Linked DNA regions of Sus scrofa. The protein of the gene in region 2 interacts with the protein of the main gene of each other region in a biochemical or structural test. Links are inferred from orthologs where the notes say so. Each region holds a gene or a part of one and is shown on either strand. Other genes may lie near its edges. The genes, in order: RNF185 and MB21D1.

The links.
Region 1: of the proteins of MB21D1 (region 2) and RNF185, one has a biochemical effect on the other in vitro, tested with the Homo sapiens proteins (2 studies listed by BioGRID). The link is inferred for Sus scrofa from reciprocal best matches to the Homo sapiens genes CGAS and RNF185.

What each region holds. Positions count from the first base shown.
Region 1 is NC_010456.5:47,966,848-47,970,659, forward strand, and holds part of RNF185 (E3 ubiquitin-protein ligase RNF185), read left to right. Parts: intron 1-207; coding exon 208-226; intron 227-2,629; coding exon 2,630-2,742; intron 2,743-3,812. UniProt on the Homo sapiens protein: E3 ubiquitin-protein ligase that regulates selective mitochondrial autophagy by mediating 'Lys-63'-linked polyubiquitination of BNIP1.
Region 2 is NC_010443.5:92,482,055-92,486,295, reverse strand, and holds the start of MB21D1 (cyclic GMP-AMP synthase), read right to left. Parts: upstream 3,044-4,241; 5' UTR 2,867-3,043; coding exon 2,285-2,866; intron 1,532-2,284; exon of another isoform or gene 858-1,531; intron 1-857. UniProt on the Homo sapiens protein: Nucleotidyltransferase that catalyzes the formation of cyclic GMP-AMP (2',3'-cGAMP) from ATP and GTP and plays a key role in innate immunity.

The DNA.
Region 1 (3,812 bases), on a different chromosome or scaffold from region 2:
TCCTTTGACTATAGCTCAGTCTTTTCTAATTTCTGATACCAACAATCCCTACAGACCCTCACTGGGTTGCAATGCACCATAGTTCGATCCTCTTTTCCCATTTTTCTGCTCCTGCTGTACCCAGTGTTTCTGTTAATGGAATCATTTTTCTTCCTTTCCCCCTTTCTCTGTCTCCTTGATGCCTGGTTGCCCTCGGGACTCTGGCAGTTGGCCGTGTTTACATCAGGTAAGATGCATTTCATTTTACTTTGTCTTTCATCAGCAATGGTTGCACAAGACACCCCTAGTCTCAGGAGGCTGCTGTCAGAAGCTGCAATCTCCCCTGCTTGTGGGCTCATTTGCTTGCTTTCCTCCCACCTTCTATACACCTGTCCACTGACAGCACTTTAAACAAGGGGTCATTGTGGTACCCAAGAGGGATGCTCCTGCCTCTGTTGCTGATGGGATGGCCCTTGAGGCCTTGGCAGGCTGCACCTCTCTGGGTCTCACTTCCTCACTTGTAAATTGGGTTGGATATGATAGTATAGCTAGGTTTTTATTTTTGCGATTATGCCTTTATAGAAAGTACCTCCTATCATATCAACAATCACCCCACCCCCACTTTAGGATATTGAGAATATTAGGAAGGGGGAAAACTGTTTTGGTCTCAACAGAGAACTTTTATGGAGAGGAAAAGTCTGTTTTCCTAGCTTTTGATTATTATGAAAACCAGTTAGTAAGTCCTCTCCAAGACCGAGGCACCTGCTTGGTGGGACAGAGCAGGGCCTGCCATTGACAGCTGGCTGTGAATAATGGCCTGTGGCTGACTGTCTCCATGGTTGTTGGCAGTAGAACCCCACACTCATAGGTGGCTTGGAGGGGGGAGGACAAAAGTTCCTGACCACTAGAGCCTCAGCATCTGGAGGGGAGAAAGAAGCAGAAGAAGCCAAAGGGGTTTCCACTGCCTTTCACAGCTGTGCATCCTGACCCCATGGAACCTGGTAGAACACATCTGCTGTTAATGTATAAAGAACACATAATACTTAAGTTTTCAAACTTTTGGCAGTAGGATATAAAATCATTGAACGCTGCCTTCTCCTTGACCCTGAAGTCCTAGATTCACTTTTTTTTTTTTTTTGCCTTTTAGGGCTGCACCCACGGCATGTGGAAGTTCCCAGGCTGGGGGTCAAGTCAGAGCTACAGCTGCCGGCCTACGCCACAGCCACAGCAATGCAGGACCTGAGCTGTGTCTGGGACCTTCACCACAGTTCATAGCAACGCCAGATCCTTACCCACTGAGCAAGGCCAGGGATCAAATCCGCAGCCTCATGGTTCCTAGTCAGATTTGTTTCCACTGTGCCACGATGGGAACTCCTAGATTCACTTTTACATAATAAACTTCATATTTCTGGATTCACGTTCTAAGATGTATGTTGAGGGAAAAAATATGTGTAATTATTTAATGTCTACAAAGACACTACAGCTAATACATTTTTATCATTTTCATCTTGTTTTTAAGAAAATTAAGCAAAGGAGTTCCTGCTGTGGTGCAGCAGAATCGGCAGTGTCTCTGCAGTTAGTTCCAGGGCACAGGTTCGATCCCCAACCCAGCACAGTGGGTTAAAGGATCTGGTGGTGTTGCACTGTGGTGCAGGTTACAACTGCAGCTCGGATTTGATCCCTGGCCCTGGAAGTCCATATGCAGCGGGGTAGCCAAAAAAAAAAAAAGTTAAGCAAAATGATTTTAATACAACCAGTGAGAGAGCCTGGAAAACCCAGAACAGGATCCTGGTGTTACTAATTTTGAAAGAAATTGTTGAATGCAAAAATCAATGAAGGTACATTAAAAAACTAAGCAGGAGTTCCCTTCGTGGCACAGCGGAAACAAATCCAACTAGGAACCATGAGGTTGTGGGTTCGATCCCTGGCCTCGCTCAGTGAGTCAAGGATCCAGCGTTGGTGTGAGCTGCGGTGTAGGTCGCAGACGCAGCTCAGATTTTGGCGTGGCTGTGGCATAGGCCGGCAGCTACAGCTCTGATTGGACCCCCCAGCCTGGGAATGTCCATATGCCACCGGTGCAGCCCTAAAAAGACAAAAAACAAAAAAACACTAAGCAAACTTAGATAATAAGAAAAATCTATCTTTTAGCACTTAGGAAGTCACCAGAAAATGGTCAGCTTATATCCAAATGTTGATGTCTAAGATACAAAGTTGTTGAGGAGATGCTGCAAAGATGAGAAACACAAAGAGAAATCTGACTGCCAGAGTCATACAATTGGTTAAGAAAAGGTGGAAATTTAAAGTTTGTTATTTCCATACCCTCAGCCTAAGCTGAGGCTGGATCTGTCAGACCTCTTGACACAGCTCCAGCCTGCAGTTCTTTCCTGCTGTATTGCTGGGAACCCTTGAAGATAACAAAGCATCAGAAAGCCTGTTTCATTATGATGGCATTTAAAGGCAATTTTGATTTCACCTAGTAAATATTTATTGAGTGCCAGTAGCGGGAATCAGAAAGTTAGGTTCCTTGAGGTGTTCCCTGCTAGTGCTGGTGTTTCCAGTTTGAAGCCTCTGGTCTGCGTAGTTCTGCTGGTTCTGACTGATTGCTCTGGTGGGCTTGCACCATTCATGCAGTTTTCTCTCCTGCTTGCAGTGGTTGGAGACCAGACCTAACAGACAGGTGTGTCCAGTTTGCAAAGCTGGCATCAGCCGCGACAAGGTCATCCCGCTGTACGGCAGGGGCAGCACTGGGCAACAGGACCCCAGGTGAGGTCATGGAGCACCCCCCACACCCACTCCTCCCATGGGACACAAATTCACTTCCATTCAACAGCATCCCCTTACCCCACCCTTTACTTAGTGCTTATAGATCCTCAGTTTTGAGGCACTTAGGATCCAGATGGGAGTCAGCCAGTCCGGGAGGGGAGTCAGGTTGCCACGCTGGGCTGTGATACAGAGCTGCACTGAGTGTGTGCTGGCAGGTAGACAGGGTTCTAGGCAGTGCACAGGACATCACCATTGCAATTGTGCAGAGTGCTGTAGAGGAGCCTGGGAGGCAGTGTCCAGCAGGAGAGTCTGCAAGGAGGGGGTTTGCTGCAGCAGTGATATATAAAGTTGAGGGGGTAGGGGCAGTGAGGGGAGAGATAGGGGTCTGGGAGGCTCTGAGATTTCTGGAAATGGAGGTTTAGTGGTCTGGCACTCTACAAACACAAGTACTGAGAGCCTTCTTAGTGTGGTTCATGACATGTGTGCATATACACACAACCCAAACTCTGACAGCATCTCTTACCTTCTTCCACCTTGCTCCAGCGTACCTGTACCCAGACGTATTGGACTTTTCTTAAAGTGACTTGCCCTTTTACCTTTTACCTTTGTATTTACTATCACTCTGCTTCTTCTGTCCTCCCCAGTCCTGCTCAACTCCCTCTCCTCCTCTAACTTCTACAATCTTTAAATGAGCAGCCCTAAAGTTACCTCCTCCTTGAAGTGGCCTTTCTTTCCCACATTAGTTGCTTTCACCCATGCCTCTGTTCCATTTCGTTGACACCTCTATTACAGAAGTCCCTTCCCACCATGTGTTGTGCTTGGTTGTAGCCCCCTTTAAGTCACAAGCACCCCAAGGGTAGGGTCTGTCTTCAGTCTTAGTATTGGTAGCATCCTGCCTAGAGCCTGATGGGTGACAAGTGGGATGAGTCATGGAAAGGCCCAGAAGCAACAAGAGCAACGTAAAGTACTTGCCCAAGAATAGTGGGCGGTAAAGCTGAAGGTGATGGGGCAGAACAGAGACCCTGAATCTCAGCCCTATCTGCTGAGCTATCCTCTGTTTCAGTTTAGAT
Region 2 (4,241 bases):
AGGATCCGGTGTTGCCGTGAGCTGTGGTGTAGGTCGCAGACGCGGCTCGGATCCCTCATTGCTGTGGCTCTGGCGTAGGCCGGTGGCTACAGCTCCGATTAGACCCCTGGCCTGGGAACCTCCATATGCCGTGGGAGCAGCCCAAGAAAATGGCAAAAAGAAAAAAAAAAGTTACTGAGAAGTGTTTTTTCACCAATTATAAAGTTTGGAATCCAATTTTGAAATACAAGTGTATGCAGAGCAGAAGAAAATACAACAAAATAACTGTGAATAAAATAAACAGGGATAATTCTTCTATGTGCTTTTCTGAAATCCAGAGACATCAACAAGGAACAAGGGCAAAGACTGGAGATGCTGAGGAAGGAGGTAAGAAGGGGTGGTTCTGTTGTGCTAAAGGAGCCTGCTGGAGGGCAGGCAAATGAAATGACTCCACAATGAACAAGTAGGCCTTTCATAACCAGTTCTTTAAAATCAATACATATTTTAGATAAAACAACTTTCATTTTCTTGCCATCAATGTGATTTTAAAAAGAAGAGTGGTTCTGGGGGTTCGCATTGTGGCTCAACAGTAACAAACTCAACTTGAATCCATGAGGATGCGGGTTCCATCCCTAACCTCACTCAGTGGGTTAAGCATCTGGTGTTGCCCAGAGCTGTGAAGTAGGTCGCAGAGGAGGCTGGAAGCTCCCAAGTTGCTGTCAATGTGGCATAGGTCGGCTGCTGCAGCTTGGATTTGGCCCCTAGCCTAAGAACTTCTATACACCACAAGCGCAGCCCTAAAACGCCAAAAAAAAAAAAGCTTCTAATTGGAGACATTTCTCTATTTCTTTCTTTTTTTTTTTTTTTTTTTTAATGGTTTATTGAGCTGATCCTTAGTACAGGTGCTGGCATTTGCCCCTGGAGCTCTTAATGTACAAAGCTCAGACGTTCTGCCAATTTTTCTTGAGCAATGACACCAGGAAGTTGACAGCAAAAAGGATGTTATACACAAGCTCATCATCTGTCGTCTTCACGTGGCCAATAGCCACTTCGAGACACAGCACCTTCTTCATCTGGAACTTGATCGTGGACTTCACTTCATCAACTTTGGCCACCATATTCTCATTGTGGGTCAGCAAGGAAGGGAACTTGCCAGCCTTATTCAGGCCAGGGCCCAGGATTCATGGAATCTGCTTGATTAGAGACTCTGAAGCCAAAAAGGCATCATACTTCTTGGCCAGCTTCTTGACCAGTTTCTTATTCTTGTTGAGTTTCTTCAGTGCCTCGATGTCCATGTGTGGGATATCCACAGCCTTGGCCTCATCACAATGCTGCTGGTCTCCCAGAATACAAACGGAGAACTTGGGGCGGGGAGTAGACTTAGGCCTGAGGTGCCCGAGAAGCGTCTGTGGGTCATAGTTCTTCAGGCTGATTTGAAGCTCCACCATCTCCAAAAACTTCCTGCGCTTGTGCTGGTTCCGTGCAGGACTTCCTGCACCGCCTTGTAGAGGGTGTCCTGAGAGACTTTGCTGCTCATGACGCCTGGCGCAGCGATAACCAGAAAAGAGCGTTCTCTATTTCTAACTAGTAACTTTCTCTTTCGTTTGGACACTTTATACAATAGAACTGATTGATACTTAGGTAATATGCTCAAGATATACAGATAGTCCAATGAAAGTTTTGTTCACTTGGTTTTCAAGATGCCTTAGAATTATATGAGTGTTCTTCTTTGCAGAACAGATGTTGACTCACAGACATTGAAAAACTTACGGTCTCCGGAGGAGACAGTTTGGGGGGTGGGGGGGATGTGCTTGGGCTGTGGGATGGAAATCCTGTGAAATCAGATTGTTATGATCATTATACAACTACAGATGTGATAAATTCATTTGAGTAATAAAAAAATTTTTAAAAATAAAATAAAGAATTATATGAGTGATCGTCAGTGCTAAAAGAGTTTAAGATCCAAAAACCAACACACACAAGGTCTTCCTACAATAAACAAACATCACTGAGTCCACATCAGTAAAATGAGCAGCTGTACAGTGTTCAAAGTTTCTTAAAACATTCTGTGACAAGGAGGCTTACAATCCAGATGGGAAGCCAAAACAAAACAGCGGTTTGTTTTTTAATTTACTTTAATTAAAGAATTGTTGGTTTACAACGTTGTGTCAATTTACGAAACAGCGTTTTAATTAGAAATACGTCACAAGCCACAAAAGAACAAATCTAAGTTACTTCCCCAGTACCCCTGGGAGGTTGGGTGTTGGGGGTGGGGGGCGGACCGCAGGGGTGTAGGGAAACTCACCTTCACTCGCTCATAGTAGCTCCCGGTGCGCAGCAGGGCAACGCCTTTGAACTCGGACTCTCCGCCCTGCAGCCTCCGCAGCAGGTGCTCCACGACCCAGTTCACCACCTCCGCCGCTTCTGAGATTTCGTGGCGGCTCAGCCTCACCTTCTCCAGCACCGTCTGGAGCTTCCAGGCGCCGGGGGGTGCCTCCATCCGCGCGGGGGCTGCGAGCTCTGTGGCCCCGGCCTGGGGTCTCAGTTCCCGCGCCGAGCGCGCCTCTCTCGCGCGGCAAGATCCAGCCCTGAGAAGGGAAGCCCCCTGGGCCGAAGGAGGCTCTACCCTTTCGGAGGGAGCCGATGGGCCCTCCGCCTGGTCCTCGGCGCGGGCCGTCCTCGTGCGTACCTGCGGCTTCTCCCGGGGGTCCGGGCCGCTCTTCTCCCGTCGGCATCCCGACGCCCTGGAGGGGCCGTTCCTCCGTGCGCCAGGCCGGGCGGCCTCGGGCACCGTTGGAGCGCCATTTACACTCCGCGCTGAGGCCCTGGGGCCAGCGGCTCCCACCTCTGAAGCTGTCCGCGTGGACTTTCCCCGCCGGGCCGCCATGGCTGGCGCTCTCTGCAACCCAGTGGGAGACCGGCTTCTGGCAAAGCCACGGCCGGAGGAACCAGCAGACACCTCAGGAAATGAAACTTAAAAACTCAGCGGGAAGGAAGCAGCAGTAGGGCTCGCAGGGTAAGGGCGCGCGGAAGCCCGCGCTCAGGGGGCCACGCCCCTTCCCCGCCTTGCCCGCTTTCTCAGCTTCGGGGTGTGCGGTACCTGGGCGGGGACCAGGCAAAACCTAACCCAGCGAAGCACAAAACAGCTTTGGGAGCTTGGAAAGGGAGATGCCTTTGCTGGCCTGTTACCTAAACGCTTTCTAGAAAACTCTAGACCTTCTCGCACATTGAAATTGCCGGAGAACCTTTTTCAATGTAAGTTTAAATAAAGGGTTTCTTTAATTAGTGGGAAATAGAAATTGTTCAGTTTTTACCAAATGGAATGAGATGTCAATTGACTGTAATTGGAATAGTTCTAATTATTTGACTTTTTAAAAGCATGTATAGTCTTGGAGTTCCCATTGTGGCACAGTGGTAACGATCCTGACTAGTATCCATGAGGAGGAGAGTTCAATCCCTGGCCTCTCTTAGTGGGTTAAAGATCCAGCAGTTGCTATGGTGTGTAGGTCACATACACAGCTTGGATCCTGTGGCCTAGGCCAGCAGCTGTAGCTCAGATTGGACCCCCTAGCCTGGGAACTTCCATATGCTGTGGGTGCAGCCCTAAAAAGACAAAAATAAATAAATAAATAATAAAATATAGTAAAAGCATGAACAATCTTAAACTGTAGTTGGGTTTTTTTCGGTGTTTGTCTTTGGCCTGCACCTTTGGCATATGGAAGGTCCCAGGCTAGGGGCTGAGCTGGAGCTGCAGCTGCAGGCCTACGCCACAGCCACGCTGGACCCTGCAGCATCTGCATCCTACCCCACAGCTTGCAGCAACACTAGATCCTTAACCCACTGAGTGAGGCCAGGGATCTAACGGCATCCTTACAAAGACTATGTTGGGTTCCTAACTTGCTGTACCACAAGAGGAACTCCTTAGAAATGTTTTGGTTTTTTTTTTTTTTTTAATATTTGACTGCACCTGTGGCATGTGTAAATTCCCTGGAACCTGAGCCACAGCGGTGACTATGCCAAATCCTTATCCATTAGGCCACCAGGGAACTCCTTAACTGTAAGTTTTTATAGGGGAGGTTTATCCATTGGTTCTCAAAAACCTGTCTAAAAATGGCACTTATATTTTAAATAATCCAAACTACTTCCACCGTTATGATTTCAGAGTATCTCAGTACAGGCTTCAAGCATCTAATTCTAAAACCAACTTCTTTACAAAAATACATCTTAAATAGGAACTGTCTGGCTTAGCATGCCTTGGTTCT